2 linked regions of the Rattus norvegicus genome follow. Each later gene encodes a partner of the first gene's protein in a complex. Links are inferred from orthologs where the notes say so. Each region holds a gene or a part of one and is shown in the gene's direction. Other genes may lie near its edges.

Region 1 (8,215 bases):
TGTATTTGCAACTTTTTGTTCTAGAGCTTTTACGTATGCTGTCAAGCTGCTAATGTATGCTCTCTTCAGTTTCTTTTTTGTGGCACTCAGAGATATGAGTTTTCCTCTTAGCATTGCTCTGATTGTGTCTAATAAGTTAGGGTATGTTATACCTTCATTTTCATTAAATTTTAAAAAGTCTTTATTTTCTTTCTTTATTTCTTCCTTGACCAAGTTACCATTAAGTAGAGCATTGTTCAACTTCCATGTGTATGTTGGGTTTCAGCTGTTTTTATTGTTATTGAAGACCAGCCATAGTCTGTGGTGATCTCATATGATGCATGGGATTATTTCAATCTTCTTGTATCTGTTGAGGGCTGTCTATTGCCCGATTATATGGTCAGTTTTGGAGAAGGTACCATGAGGTGCTGAGAAGAAGGTATATTCTCTTGTTTTAGGAGGAAATGTTCTATAAATATCTGTTAAATCCATTTGGTTCATAACTTCTGTTAGTTTCTCTGTGTTTCTGTTTAGTTTGTTTCCATGATCTCTCCATTGATGAGAGTTGGGTGTTGAAATCTCCCATTATTACTGTGTGAGGTACAGTGTGTCCTTTGAGATTTAGTAAGGTTTCTTTTATAAATGTAGGTGCCCTTGCATTTGGAGCATAGATATTTAGGTTTTAGAGTTCATCTTGAATATGTAGTGTCCTTCCTTATCTTTTTTGACAAATTTTGGTTGAAAGTTGATTTTATTCAATATTAGAATGGCTATTTCATCTTGTTTCTTGGTACCATTTGCTTGGAAAATTGCTTTCCAGGCTTTTCTCTAAAGTAGTGTCTGCCTTTCTCACTGAGGTGTGTTTTCTGTGTGCAGCAAAATTCTGAGTCCACTTTATGTATCCAGTCTGTCTGTCTATCTCTTTATATTGGGGAATTGAGTCCATTGATGTTGAGAGAGTGTAGCGACCAATGTTTGTTGTTTCCTGTTACTTTTCTTATTAGAGGTGAAATTATGATTTTTTGTCTCTCTTCTTTTGGGTTTGTTGCCAGAAGATTATTCTCTTGCTGTTTTTAGGGTGTAGTTTCCTTGCTTTGTTGGAGTTTTCCATCTACTATCCTTTGTAGGGCTGGATTTGTAGAAAAATATTGTGTAAATTTGGTATTGTCGTGGAATATATTGGTTTCTCCATCTATGTTAATTGAGAATTTTGCTGAATATAGTAGCCTGGGCTGGCATTTGTGTTCTCTTAGGGTCTGTATGACATTTGCCCAGGATCTTCTGGCTCTCATAGTTTCTGGTGAGAAGTCTGATGTAATTCTGATAAGTCTGTCTTTATATGTTACTTGATCTTTTTTCCCTTACTGCTTTTTAATATCCCTTCTTTTTTGTGCATTTGGTGTTTTGACTATTATGGAATGGAAGGAATTTCTTTTCTGGTCCAATCTATTTGGAGTTCTGTGGGCTTCTTGCATGTTTATGGGCATCTCTTTCTTATGTTAAGGAAGTTTTCTTCTATAATTTTGTTGAAGATATTTACTAGCCCTTTAAGGTGGTAGTTTTCACTGTTTACTATACCTATTATTGTTAGGTTTGATCTTTTCACTGTTTCCAGGATTTCCTAGATGTTTTGGGTTAGGAACTTTTTGTGTTTCACTTTTTCTTTGGTGGTTGTGTCGATGTTTTCTATGGAATCTTCTGTCCCTGAGATTCTCTCTTCTATCTCTTGTATTCTGTTGTTGATGCTTGCATCACTGACTCTTGATCTCTTTTCTAGGTTTTCTATCTCCAGGGTTGTCTCCCTTTGTGATTTTTTTATTGTTTCTATTTCCATTTTTAAATCCTGGATGGTTTTGTTGAATTCCTTCAACTGTTCGGTTATGTTTTCCTATAATTCTTTAAGGGATTTTTATGTTTCCTCTTTAAGGGCTTCTACTTGTTTACCTGTGTTGTCCTATATTTTTTAAGGCAGTAATTTATATACTTTTTAAAGTTCACTATCATCATAATGAGATTTCATTTTAAATCCAAATCTTGCTTTCCAGTGTGTTTGGATATCCTGTATTTGCTTTGGTGGGAGAAGTGTGGTTTGATGATGTCAAATAGTCTTGATTTCTATTGCTTAGCTTCCTGAACTTGGCTCTCACCATCAGGTTGTCTCTGGTGTTGATTTGTCTACCTGTCTATGACAGGGGTTTGACCTTCCTGTAAACCTGTGTGTCAGCACTCCTGTAGACCTGTTTTCTTTCAGTGGGATCTGGATACAGAGAGCTGTGTGACTGGGTCAGCTTCGGGTATAGGCAGAAATCGGAAGGGTCCTGTCCAAAACTGCTCTTGGGTTTGTGTGTCCTAGGTCCTCCAGGCAGGTCACTTGGAGCAGAAGGATTGGTCTTAACTCTGCTCTCAGGTGTGTTCTGGCTCCTGCAGGTTGGCTTTCAGCTCAGTGTGCAGGCAGAAACCAGAAGTGTCTTGTCCCTGTCTGCTCCTAGGTTCCTGTGTCCAAAGGGCACAGAGGGCACTTGGCACATTCCTCTTGGGTCAGGAGTGTTAGCAGAAGTAATTGTGTCCTCTGAGTTCTCAGGATTGTCTACACTTCTGAGAGTCCATCTCTGTCCCCCACCAATGGTATTCATTTAATGACCAAATACTTAAATGTTTAAATTAGATTTTATTTTGTAAGATTCACAGAGGGAGTAGGGGAAACAGATAATTTCTGTTGCAAGGCAAAAGCATACACAACTCATATATGTGTGGGAATGAAAGTCTCAGAAATGTGAAAAATGGGTAGAGAGAGAAGAATACTTCTGACAATTCATACAGCTGTGATCAAGGACATAATGGAAATGACTGCGGCTTCAAGATCTCCACATGGACATAGAAGACTAGGGAGGTTGTGTTGAATTATTGCCAAAGGTGAATTCATCAGTCTTCTGCAATATCTTCTTAATATCTGTTATTCCTATAATCCAGAAAAAAACCTCAGTGTGAAAGATATAAAACTAATTAAAGTCTTAATCAATATCATATTATTATGAAATACTGCACAAGAGGATAGAATAATTAGAAACACCAATCTTATATAAAATGCCTAAATGTTTAGAAGTTTGAAGAGCTTGAAAAACAAATACTGTCTTCAACTTAATAGACACATTTTTGAGAAATATTGCTTTAATATTTGTTTTCAAAGACATTCAAAATTATTCTTCTCCTAAATGAAAATACGGAACATATACACAGACAGAGAAACACAAAGAGAGAGACATAGACACACAGAAATATTAATGGGGTGGAAGGGATGTTGGGAAACAACATAGTAGTGATTTGACAGAGGAAAGAAAGGGAAAAATAAATTTATGATTGTATTTTAGTTAATTATTCATTAAAATAAAATAAGTCTTAGATAATTGTGACAGAATTAAAAAAAAATTTCCTTGGTGGAAAAATTTTTAGCTACTACAATAATGAAGTAAAAATTTTACCACTTTCAGAAATGTCAAAAATTAAGCTGTAAACTATAAAATGGAGAAAGACAACTCTTGAGGTACTAGATGAATTCTATTGTGTTCCTATTGTAAAACCCAAGAGAAAACACTAATGTTCATCAATTTTCTTCAGCAGCACTTTGGTGTATTATCATCTCTTCTAATCATGTGGATTGTATAAATTGTAAACATCAGGAACAGTATGTAAAGCATTTGTAGTTATTCATCACTCACCACAAACAGAAAATGTGTCATTAATTTCAGTGGTTTAGTACATGTGAATTATCCTCTTTGCAATAATAAGTAATCTGCACATCATTTTATTAAGCAAATAAATCTATTAATCAGCTTTCAATCTTCTTGGCATTATAATGCATCTATCATAGTATTGTATTTTCATACATTCCATATCCTTGATTCCAGATGTTTGTTACACGTAAATATGACAATTTGTTGACAATTTCATGAAAAAATATTTCCCTGATCTATTTCTCTTTTCCTTTCAGGAGTTGGAATTTTCAAATTTGTTTGCTGTTCTTCACTGTATTCATTCATTTTTTGCTGCCAAAGTAGCTTGTTTGGACCCTCTGTTTTTAGGTAATCAGGCTGCTACTTCCGCTGCTGCTGCCAGCTCTGCTTCTACAAGCAAGGCAAAACACATGGCTTGACATGCTGAGCTCTGCCTGACAGCCGGCAGGGCCACTCGCTCCCTACTTCCACCCTAGAGAGACCATGCTGTCACCAAGTCAATCATGGAGTCAGATTGCAATTCCAGCAGCAGAAAGGTCAGGAGGCATCTGCAAATGACCCTGGGAGGGCAGAGAAAATTATTCCTTCCCCCCTGATCTCTATCAGGATACAGCTGTCACTGTGTTTGGTGACAAAGGGATGATTGGTGTAAAGTATGTAAATATTAATAAAAATTGTAAGCTACCTATAAATAAAATACCAATTAAATGACTATTTCTCTATTTTAGATGATTTTCTATGACAAATGCATATTGGGCCAGATCATGAATCAATGCCCTATCATTGTATTATGAGTGTAAAGAAGTTAAAAAAATAAAAGCAAGGCAAGTAGCATGCACATTAAACAGACAAACAAACGAACAACAAAATGAAAACAAATGACCTCAAAGACAGAAGCACCTTAACTTATCCGTGTGAGTTACTTCCTATATTCCCATCCCATGGTTCCATATGAGCACTCCAGCTGTGTTTATCTTATTGTAAAATATTCTGGAGAATTAATAAAGACAATTACATTGGCTTGTGAAAACACCCTAGGAAATGAAACATTTCTTCTTTGGTGAATGTTACTAATATGTTTTATATTAGAAAATGGTATTAATTATGAATGTCAAAAACATTCTACACTTAAACACATTTCTTCTTTTTTTGCTTAATGAGGTTTATGAACAAATCAACATTAATAAATTTAAATGTCCCAAAACTCTTGCAGAAAATAATCAATAAATTCTGTGTAAGAAACAAGTCTTTGTTATAGTTTTCTCTTTAGTCATTAACTAAAAAGTTCCTGAAAGGTACTCTCAGAGGTTATGAAAACTGGTGATATTTTCATTTGAGTTTACTTATGTGTAAATCAAGTGAGATTTGAAAACAAGCATCAAACAAGCATCGTGTTATAAAGTTCCATGGAAAGGGATTGAATAGTGTCCCATGAGGTAGGCCGCTGCAGGTAGCTTGTTTCAGCACTAGGAAGGTAAAACATCAAAAAGGTGTATTGTGGGGTGCGCACTCATAGCCAAGAACTGGAGATTGCTCATCATACAAAGCACGAGGCAGTCTCTGCCCTTTACTAAGGCTCTGTTGGTGTCTGCTTTAAACAACTAGCTGCTTGATCAAAAGTAAACAAATAAAGCCCACTTTTATCGGTACATATTTCAATTGAATATTGTTTGATTCCCCTTAAAATGATCAATTTCTAATAAGTAGGTCAGTATCCCTTCCTTAAATAGGAAACAATCCCACATTAGACTCAAGAGGAAAGCAAAATCTTTTCTTTAAAGGAACACTTACGCCTAAGTGTAAAGTCATCAAATAGTGAACTATTTTCATAATAATTAGAAATACTAATTTATTTTACACTGGATTAAGTGAAATCTCAAAATGAGATATGGAAATGTTAAGTTAGATCTAAAGATGCCTTGCCAACAGAACATGGAAATTTGATAATAGAGGTTTATATATTCTATTTGAACAAGGAATTTCAGTGTATACCCACAATAGTCACTTGGGGAGTACTGCTTACTAGAGCCACCAAACACAAAGGCTATGGTAATTCTGAATTTCACTAAGTTCTGAGTTCCACCTGTCTAACATAGAGGAGAAAGAGTAGAGAGAGACACCCTTGCTATCTTTTTTGCAAGTTCTGCTGCTGCACATGGTGGGTGCTGCCCCCAGGGTGGGTGACCACTGGAATTTAAAACATACAGTCTCCTGTAATCATTCAAAACAACTTCATAGAGCTCAAGAGATGGCTTAGTGGTTAAGAATCTTTACTGCTCTTTCAGGGGACCGGGATTTGATTGCAGAACCCACACAGTGACTCAGAGTCATCCGGGACTGCAATTTCAGGGGTTTTAATGCCCTCCTCAAAACTCAGTAGCACCAGATTCACAGGTGCATATACAAACATGCAGGTGAAACATCGCCTAAAAAATCTAAAAGTAGATTTTACAAAGCTCTATTTAAGCATACAAACCCTTTTTTGCTGTTGTTGTTATATTAACTATTCTATCAGTGCCCCTGTTGTAAAAACCAGCTGAACTGTGAGATTAGATCTGAGTATAGAACTTGTACCCTATGCGTGTTTGTAGACATATGAATATATGTATAGAGACAAGTACAAAATGTTGAGCTTAATTATACTGAAAGAAAATGTTTCACATGCATATATAGCTATATATGTATTGAGCTATAAAGTGTTGGTTGAATTAAAACCTACTAGAACAACCTTATTTTTCTTACTTTTTATAATATTGGTTAAAATATCACCCAAGCTGAAATTTCTATTTAACATGATTAGTATAATAGGTACCAATTAGGAAAATACTTTTCTGGTTTTCATACATTTACCAGTTAGTATTTAATGCTTTCTTTATAGTGTAATTAAGCACTGTGAGATGCTATGACTTTGGCTACTTAAATGAGAAAACTGTAGAAATTCATGAAAATACAGAGTTCAACTTCACAGTAAGTTAGGTTAAGATATAGATTTTTTTTTCTAACAATCCCAAGTTTGAGTATTAAGCAAACATGAGAATGCTTAATTATGTGTTAACCCCTTCAGTGCCTTTTTGGATGTGTATGCACATACGTGTGTGTGTGTGTGTGTGTGTGTGTGTGTGTGTGTGTGTGTGTGTGTGTGTGCCTGTGTAGATCATTAAAGGGCTTATTATTGTGTACACACTGCAAGCTTAAAGGAAAATGTAGTTAAGTGTGTTAGAGAGAGGAGTTTAAAACAGCTAAGATGAGAATGTCTTTTCTGTGGTAAACAAAAAAATTATCTGAAATAAAGTGCATCAAAGCAGGAGGACTTGAGTTTGTTATAGGTTAACTCCAAAATTACCTTAATAGATGATTTAAATATAACAAATACCCAATGCTTCCTATCTAATTCTATTTTATAGAGCAGAATGTGCCAGTAATTTCTTACTCATATTTCAGGCATTAACTGACTTCTTGTTTTAAAACCTTTGCTTATAAACCTGTCATTCAGCAAGAAGAAAAGAAATTGAAGTCCAGTCAATACTGGCAAGCAGAGAAGGCACTTCCACATAGGCAGTGTGGTTGTCCGCTGGTATATTAGCTAATGAATCCACATAGCCCTCATTGACAGTGACTAAGATTGTTCATAGTATAGTCTGGGTTGAATGCTGGACTTAAGTGAAGCTTGACTTCTGAGGAAACCTCAATCTGAACAATCACTTCATTTTATTGTTTCACACCAGCAGTGTGGAGAAGCTTTATCAGTCAGGCACATGCTTGTGCTTAACTTTGTAAGGTAAGTGTCTGTGCTCTAACCCAACATTTTGTTTATGTTGGTATTGATGGTCTCATACACTAAAGGTCTATCTCAATCCATACCTTTAAAAATCACTGTTTGTGTTTTGTTCTGACTCCTTAATACTTTAAATCATGTCACTTTACATTATAGCTTACCTTTAAAGTAAACTAAAATATTATAAATATATATTTTATACATATTACAATGCAATGAAAAAATAAAATGTAAAATGTAAATATATTTATTTCCTATTTAAATGATTTGGTGGATGTTTGTAAAATGTTAATTCAGATCTGTGAAAATTTGCCACTCTGTCTTTGAGTTCATTAATGTACAATTACTAAAAAAAATACATTTTTTAATAAATCATACTAGAAAATAAAAATGAAAGTTTTTCTACGTTCAATTTTGCATTTCTTTGTCTCTAAGATTAATACACATTTACACTATAGTCCTAATAGAATGAACCTCGAGGTAAAAGGGAAAATCTGACCTCTCTACCCAGAGTACAAACCATTTAGAACATAATCTGCTCTGACTGATTAATATTCATGAATATTTGATGTCTGACCTCTGAAAGTCTGTGAAGACCTAAGAAAGGTGCCATTCACTAAGTTAGTTAAACAATGTAGGAGTTACAACTTTTGAAAGCATTACCACTTTGATAATTATATAATGGTTCATTAGGGATGGGATCTAGATTTGGGATGCCAGGGCAAGGACA
Region 2 (8,521 bases), on another chromosome or scaffold:
CAGAAGGAAGGTGGGTCACCTCAGTCATGAGCCCATCAAAGGAGAAGCAAGGACAGGAGCAGTGAGCCAAGGTCAGGTATGAAGTACTAAGTAAGACATGCCCAGAGGACACTTAGGCAGAGCTCCCACCTTGGAGTTAAGGAGAGAAAATGAGGAATGAGTACAGGCGAGGCAGGCAGTATAGGAGTGGGAGCAGCCTAGAATTTCATGACCCATCCAAGAAGCAACAGAAACACAGTTGACCCAAGGCAATATGGTACATTTTGCTGGGTCTCCTTCCTTTTTACTCTCAGCAGAGATTTAATAATAGGGAAAGGATTGTGGACAGGCTAAAAAAAAACCAAACCAAACCAAACCAAAACAAAACAACCCCTCAAACCCCAGACAAGACAACAAACAAACAACCCAGTTTCTTCTACATCAGGCCCAGCTAAACTGGGTTTTTTGTTGTTTGTTGTTTTGTGTTTGCCTGGCCCAGACAATGGTATGAGGTGTGACTTTATCTCCTGAAGTGGTGGTCCCTATGACTTTTTGAGGGTCTTTATGCGAAGGTTTGAGCATTTCCTTCAGAACTGAGTATAAGACTTGGTTCTAAAGAGAATAAAGAAAATAAGGAATAAATTATATGTGAAGACAAAGGGCAATGCCAGTCACCAGAGGGCTGTGAACTAATGTGAGAACTGAAGGCTCCTGAAGGTCTACAGGTCTACAGAGGGTAGAGATCTTTGGACCCGAGAGTTTTCCTGAGCCATCATGTCATTCTTTGAGTAGTTATCATATTGGTCTCCTTATTGGGCCCTAATCAAGGTGACATACAGTGTCAGAGAGCTGGCTTTGGGGAGTTCAGGCACATTTCTTGGGTCAAAGCAGATGGTAGACAGCCCCTATCTACCCCTAGGTTGCTTCCTGGTCTTGTATTTGTCTCTTCACAGTGACAGAAATGGTGGAGAAATGATATACAGCTGTCTATGCACCTGTGTTAACCACGCCCAGGTTGCACCCTTTGGCCTAGACCAAAGGAATAAACAATGAACATCTGCAGCAGGCAGGAGCCAGGACATCATACGGTCTAGGCCTTACCATGTGCTTTTGATGGTGGGTAGGATGTGGTTGTGTAGTGTCAAGTAGGGCAGGCGTGGGTCAGGCCCTGCCTCATGAGTTAGGCCCTTGCCTAATCATTTGATCTTCTACAGGCAGGCTGTCATCACTCCTCTCTCCCCATCTTGTCCTTTGGTTTTCCTTTTCCATCATAGACTTCCTGTCTAGTGTAAGAGGCACTTCTTATTCTTCTTTCTGCTTCAGGGCTCTTCCAGAACCATGGCATATGGTATCCCAGTTAGCCCAGCACAAAGCCTCCCATTCCTGTTCTCAGTTATAGGGGCCTTTGTTGTTCTTGTATGCCTATAACCCAGACACTCCCTGAAGAGATTGATGTGGTCACTGGGACAAATGTGTCAACCCTGGTTGCCATCTCTGAGGATGGGGATCCCTGGAAGGGGTGATTGTCCCCTTCTTATCCCCTCAGTGACATACACTGGACATCTTGTTAGTTTTGAGTAAGTGAATGAGTCAGTGAGGGGTCAGGCAAGGGAATGAGGGAGTGTGTGAACCAATGAAGAAGTCGCTCAGCACCAGCCAGGCCACTGCATGGCGAGATGATGCTTTCTCCCTTCCTTGGGGCCCTTAGCTTTGGACCTGGGTGCTGAATACTTGTATGATATGACTTTTGGAGCCACTCCTGATCTCTTGGAGGAATCCAAGAGAAGATGGGACCTGGTGGAGGAATGGCAGAGGAGCCCACTTCAGCTTTGTGTGTAAAACTGAGGAGGGGTGGGAGAGCTTCAGCAGTTGGTAGCACAACTAGTCACAGGGAGGATTCGACCTCCAACATTGACAGTTTTAGGTTGCATTGATCTGTCTGAGTATTGGCCTTATCCACAGACCACTCCACCTTATCTACTTGATTGCTTATTATGTATCCATCCATCCATCTGTCCATCCATCCATCCATCCACCCACCCATCCATCCACCCACACATCCATCTGTCCGTCTGTTCGTCCACCTATCCATCTGTCTGTGGACCCTTTTATCTACCTACTGTTCATCTTAGCTCATCTGCTCTTCTGTCTGAACAGTCATTATTCCTTCCCCTCGAATACTTCTCACTCATCACCTATCCCCTCTCTTTTATTTTTTAATTTTAATTAATACATGTGCTTAGTTACTTTACATCCTGACTGAAATTTCCCTTCCCTCCTCTCATCACAGTCCTCCCCTCCTTCCTTCCTCCATATCTACTCCTCCCTTTCTCTTCAGAAAAGGGGAAGCCTCCCATGGATATCAACCAGCCTTGGCGCTTCAAATTGTAGTAGGTCTAGGCACATCTCCTATTGATTCTAGATGGGGCAGCTCAGTAAGGGGAAAACATCCCAAAGGCAGGCAACAGAGTCAGAGACAGCACCTGCTCTTGCTGTTAGGAGTCCCACATGAAGACCATACTACATAACTGTTACATATGTGCAGAGGGCCTACACCAGTCCCATGTAGGCTGTCTGGTTGGTGGTTCAGTCTCTGTGGGCCCCTATGGGCACCTATCAATACATACATTTATTCAGTGGGGTCTTCTGAGTTTCAGGACCACTGTTAGGAAATCAAAGTTGATTCTGGAAACTTAAGGATAGTGTTATCATAGTGTCTGCCATTGGGAAACTTACAGCTAAATGACAATGTATTGTCTAGAGCAGAATGAAATGGCCTGTCTGTGCTGTACAAGGCTGTCGGTCTTGCCTTGAAGTTACTTTTGATCAGCCCACTGGAATAGCAGATTTGGAATAGAAGGGAGGTTGCCTTTGTCATAGCTACAGGATCATTGCCTGTCACACTGTGGGTACTTGATAAGTATCTGCGAGTAAAGCAGCCTCAACGGCAGAGTCGGCTCACGGGAAGACAAGACCAAACCTTCTTGGAGAAAACCGTGGGTGTGGGTTTTGAGCTCTTCATGGAGAAAATCTAGCAACCAGGATGTCTTGAGGCTGAGTACTAGGAGATGTGCTGGGGACCTGAGTCAGGCTGCGGGAGTGGAGTGGGGCAGTGGGAGTTCAGGGTGTGGTCATCCGACTGGTTGACCTCCAATGTCCCTTTCAGCTCGACAGCCCATAAGTGCATGATCTTGGGGTAGCTGGGAATTGCCTGGCCTAATCAGTTTCCCATCAGTTGAGGATTCCTGATCTAAAGATGGAGAGTACCCAGCTGAGGGAGAATACAGATCAAAACCCAAGTTTTGAGTCCTAGTCAAAGATTTTCTCCACTTGCTTTCTCTCTTTTGATATTTTCATCTCTTTTGAAGTATTTGCTTTTAGTTAAGGCCAGAATCTCAATCTCTCCCTCCCTCTCTCCCTTCCTTCTTCCCTCCCTTCCTCTGTCCTTTCTCTCTTTCTCTCTCCCTAACCTCAACAGATTCTTTTTTTTTTTAAGATTTATCTATTTATTTATTTACTTATTTATTTACTATCTGTAAGTACACTGTAGCTGTCTTCAGAGACACCAGAAGAGGGCGTCAGATCTCATTACAGATGGTTATGAGCCACCATGTGGTTGCTGGGATTTGAACTCAGGACCTCTGGTAGGGCAGTCAGTGCTCCTAACCACTGAGCCATCTCTCCAGCCCACCTCAACAGATTCTTAACCTGTATCCCAGACTGACCTTGAACAACCTTTCTGCCTCAGTTTCCCGAGTACTTCATAGTGTGAGCCACCATGCCTGGCTCCTCTTGATGGTCAGAAGCCAGGAGGGGGAGGGACAGTGTGCCCTCTGCTCCATTTACCTCTTCTTCCTGGATTAATGATGAAGTTTAGCCTTGTCTATGCCTGAAGTGAGGAGAGGGACTTCCCAGGCCAACCAGCATTTTCCTGATTGCCCTGATTGGATAGCCTTCTTGTAGCTAACCCTTGCAGTGGATTTGGCTGCAAGCTGGCCCAGAGGACCAAGTTGAGGACAGAGCAGAGCAATGTGCATTGCTGTGCCAGTTACTAGCCTGGGTGGCAGGAGGAAGCAGTTCTATGGCCACCTGGAGTCAGCTCTAGGGGAAGATACTTCTTATGCTTAGCCTCAAATGCTTTGCCTGTCGACTGGGGCCCTGGTCCCAGGCTGCTGCTCTTCTTTCTGAGTTTGAGATGGGTGGAAACGCACTTTGAACGTCCTCTGTTCTGGGTCTGGGAAAGGCTCAGGTGGCAGAGTGTTTAGGACGGCTATGTGCCTGACGTTAGGCAGGCAGCATTCTGGGTGGGTTACACGGCCGGCTGCAGCTTTGCTACGGCAGCTGCTGTACCAGAACTGAGTTCACTCGCAGCTGATCCTCACCTTAGTGTCACCACGGGAACACTCACCTCCTAGGGTGACTGTGGTGTCCAAGGTCATGTGTGTCTGCATCTGTGGGTGTGGCTAGCCGTGGCTGGCAGAGTGTCTGGCTTTTCTTGAGGTAGGGTGTGTCTCCCAAACCCTTGAAGCCTGAAGAGGAAGCTGACTTGTCTCTCCTCCCCCAACCCCCACCTCCACTGACTGGCAATGTTTTCTGGGCCCTCTCCCTCCTTTCTATTTCATTTTTTTTTTTTTGCTTGTATATATAGGATACAAAGGTAGTGGTGTCATTAAGGCATTCATACAATGTACACAATGTTCTCTGATCACATTAGCCTCTTTTGCTATTTTCTAAAAAATAAAATTTGAACACTTATTTATTTATATGTGAATTTATATTTATTATGTATATGGGGGCTTTACCTACATGTATGCCTGTACGCTATGTGAGTAAAGTGCCCACAGAAGCCAGAAGAAGGAAGGTACAGAACCCCCTAGGACTAGAGTTACAGATGGTTGTGAGCCATGTGGGTGCCGGGGATTGAACCTGGGTCCTCTGGAAGAGCAGCCAGTCCTCTAAGTGCTGAGCCACCTCCCGAATCCTTCTTATTCTTCCTTATTCCTTCTCCTGTTATCATTATCCTTCCGCATCCCTAGCACTTCCACTTGTAGCTTTGTGGGCCTGCTCTATATTGTGTGTTTCTAAGTCTGGCTTATTTCACTTAGCGGGCTCATCTCCAGTTCCGTACATTTTCCTGAAAATGTTACAGGATCCAGTTCTTCATGGCTAAATAGGACGTCATTTGATTTATTTATTTTTTCCAGCATCATATTTTTGTTGATTATTTGGGAATTCTACACAATGCACCCTGATCATATTCACCTCTCAGTCCTTGAAGGTCCATCCCTAACCCTTGTGACTTCCTCCTACAAAGAGAAGAAGAAAGAAAAAATTTCAAGTCCATTTTGAGAACACTATCTTATAAAATACCGTATTTCATTTGTTCATCTGTGGGTGGGCAGTTTGGCTGACTCTTTAACTTGGCTATTGTGAATAGTGGTGTAATAAATGTGTATGTGCAGGTGTCCTTGTAGGGAACTAGCTTGGATTCTTTTTTCTATAGATCTACAGACCCCAGAGCTGGATCATATCGAAGTTCTAATTTAAAAGTTTTGAGGTGCCTCCATATTGACTCCCACAGAGACTGTGCTATTTTATGTTATCTGTAGCAGTATGTGAGTGCTCTCTCCTTGTCTGTCCCAATTACCACCGTTTGGTGTTGCTTGTTATCTTCATGATAGCCATTCTCACATGATATTTATTTTATTTTATTTTATTTTAGAGATAGTCCTGCTATGTAGCACAGGCTAGCCTCAAACCTATGATCTTCTTGACTCAACTCTCTGAGTTATAAGATTAGGGGCAGATGCCACCATGACTGGTTTGAGTTTTTCTTCTTAGTGGAGGATCCCCAGTCCAGGCCCCCAGCTCTCTGCCCTAGACTAGCTTTCCTAGTCCATTTCCTGCTGTGGTAAAGGGGCTAATGGGCAACAAGAGCAGCCAGGGTGACTCTGGCCCTTCCTCTTAAGCTGCTGGAAGGCCTGTGGGGCTTTGAGCCTAGAGGCCCCCCTCTCAAAGGCTTCTCTGCTTCCAGGCTTATGTTCTAGGCACAGCTGGTTGGAGATGGGAAGGCCTGTTTCCACGTTGCCATCTTTGAAAGACTGTATACTTGAGGGCAGCCGCAAACCCTCAGGTGCTGGGCCATGCTCAGTGATCCTCTTGGGCTCATCCACACAGTACTTCTAGAGGCAAGAGCCATTTAAACTCAGCTAAGAACCCAGAGTCTACTCCATCCTGGAGGGCTAGGCCAGGACACACGGCACAAAGGCTAGGGCTCAGCATGAGTGGGTCCTCTGTGGCAAGGCTGCAGGACACAGGCAGACAGGCCCAGCCCCAGTTCTAATGGCCTTGATTGGTCCCTTCAGTGCACACTTCTTCCTGGAGATAGAAGGATTTGAGCCCAACCCCACTGTTACCAAGACCTCTCCCCCAATCTTCTCCAAGCCGATGGACTCCAACATCCGGCAGTGGTGAGTACTGGCTGCTGGCCTGAACACATGGTTAGGCCTGGTGGTGGCATAGTAGCACTGTCCACTTCTAAAGTTGGCTTACTCTCTTTCCTCTTCTCCATCTCCAGCCTCTCTGGCAACTGTGATGACATGGACTCTCCTCAGTCTCCTCAGGATGATGTGACAGAGACCCCATCCAATCCCAACAGTCCAAGGTAAGTGTGCCCTTTCCCTCCCCTCACTGATCTCAGAAGAGGGTACATCACAGGGATGGGTTGTACAGGATAGAGAAAGAACCAGCATCTCTGGGGAGTTGAGACAAACATCTGGAGGCTCCAGGCCATGGTTGTAGCCTGTGACATTTTGTGGAGCAGAGCAAAATATCAGTATATTATAAAATGATTTCTGTTCATTATAAAACATTCAAAAATGTACAAAAGAATAAGGACGTCAGCACAAGTTACATAAGTGAAAGGAGACACATCTGCATTACAGTAATAGTCTATTTAGAGTGTGGGGCAGGAAGGGATACATGGAAATGTTCAGATATGCCAGTGAAAGGGAGCTTTCTCTTCCCTTAGTTCCATATTTCAGAGTAATGGCTACACTAGACATACATCCTTCTTGCTCATTCTCACGTGTATGCAGGTGTATTTTGATAGATGTGATTGCATATGGATTGGAAGGGGAGCTTGACCAAACATGGAACACAAATCTGGGCATTGCCAAAGACATAGGAGGCATAGGGGTTGGAGCAGTGGCCCGGAAACTAAGTAGCTCCGGTGGTGGAGGGGAAGAGGGTAGGAACAGAGGCAAACGGGATGAATTCGCAATGTCTTCCGGTCTTAGCGCAAACCTGGCCAAGGAAGAACAGAGGCAGAAGAAGAAGCGGCTGAAGAAGTGCATCTTCGCGGCTGTATCAGAGGGCTGCGTGAGGGAGCTGCGGGAACTCCTGCAGGATCTGCAGGAGCTCTGCAGACGGCGCCGCGGCCTGGATGCGTCTGGTCAGTGCCCAGCCCTGTCCTAGAGTGCAGGCCCCTGGAGACCCTGGTTGGTTTGGCTTGGCCCCTGCTCTATCTCCTGTGGGGCTGAAGCATGAGGCATGGATATTGGGATAGCAATCTTGTGCTTGACTTAGAGGGCCATGGGGAGTCCCGGGTCATGGGTTTAGGTAGGAAGAGGGCGTGGTCTGGCTATTGTGTGGAGTAAGTCAGGAGAGGGTTGCTATTCAGAGTGTTGGCACCCTGCAGCAGGCCTAGGGGATGGGGAAGGGTTCCTTGGGCATTGACAGGAATTGAAGGCTTTGGGGGTCCATAGCTGTGTGGGGACTAAGGAGAGGAGCAGGTTGGTGGGGGAGGTGGTAAGATGTACTTTTAGAGCATGAGGAGGGATATGATGGAGATTTTGGCACCCACATGGGCAGCCAGGCTGCAGGTGACATTGTCTCTCCTGCGAGAGAAGGTGCAGAACTTGGAGAGCAGGAGGACTTGGATAAGGTTTTCACAGGCAGTAGAGAGCTGTGAACAACGAACCAGGGAGGGAGTTGGAGGAAGAAAGAGGATCTGGTGTACAGGCCTGAGGGCCCTCTCTTGTGGCTGGAGGGCGTACTTCCAAAGTACGAGGCTGCAGCTTCCACTGTTCTGTCTGCTCTTCCTACCCCTGCATTTTTCCTTGACTCTGTCTGCAGACTTCCTCATGCACAAGCTGACAGCCTCAGACACTGGGAAGACCTGCCTGATGAAAGCTTTGCTCAACATCAACCCCAACACCAAAGAGATCGTGCGGATTCTGCTTGCCTTCGCTGAGGAGAATGACATCCTGGACAGGTTCATCAATGCAGAGTACACGGAAGAGGCCTACGAAGGTACCTGGAGGCAGAGGCAACCAAGGGCAACGGGGAGAGGTTGGGATTTCCCAAGGTGGGTGTGGCTACAGATACAGCCTACCTTGCCTCACAGAGGCACTTTGGTTATAGAGATATGGCCCTTTCTTTTGCATGTAAATAACGCTGAGCGTGGGTGAACAGGTCAGGAAACACTGATGCTCTAAAAAGGCGACTTTAGGCAGAATATGCCAGGAACAGAAGTAAAGAT

The links.
Region 2: the proteins of Sntg1 (region 1) and Trpv3 are in contact, whole or in part, in a crystal structure (PDB 7QQN), measured with the Homo sapiens proteins. The link is inferred for Rattus norvegicus from reciprocal best matches to the Homo sapiens genes SNTG1 and TRPV3. Residues at the interface, in NP_001274742.1 of Homo sapiens: Arg62, Gly66, Gly67, Phe68, Gly69, Leu70, Ser71, Ile72, Lys73, Gly74, His78, Ser85, Lys86, His118, Glu119, Val122, Arg126; in NP_659505.1 of Homo sapiens: Pro786, Glu787, Thr788, Ser789, Val790.

What each region holds. Positions count from the first base shown.
Region 1 is NC_086023.1:15,575,572-15,583,786, forward strand, and holds the end of Sntg1 (gamma-1-syntrophin), read left to right. Parts: intron 1-3,967; coding exon 3,968-4,129; 3' UTR 4,130-7,897; downstream 7,898-8,215. UniProt on the Homo sapiens protein: Adapter protein that binds to and probably organizes the subcellular localization of a variety of proteins. May link various receptors to the actin cytoskeleton and the dystrophin glycoprotein complex.
Region 2 is NC_086028.1:58,385,470-58,393,990, forward strand, and holds part of Trpv3 (transient receptor potential cation channel subfamily V member 3), read left to right. Parts: intron 1-4,734; exon of another isoform or gene 4,735-5,237; coding exon of another isoform or gene 5,238-5,285; intron 5,286-6,344; coding exon 6,345-6,449; intron 6,450-6,556; coding exon 6,557-6,643; exon of another isoform or gene 6,644-6,960; coding exon of another isoform or gene 6,961-7,277; coding exon 7,278-7,432; intron 7,433-8,115; coding exon 8,116-8,292; intron 8,293-8,521. UniProt on the Homo sapiens protein: Non-selective calcium permeant cation channel. It is activated by innocuous (warm) temperatures and shows an increased response at noxious temperatures greater than 39 degrees Celsius. Activation exhibits an outward rectification.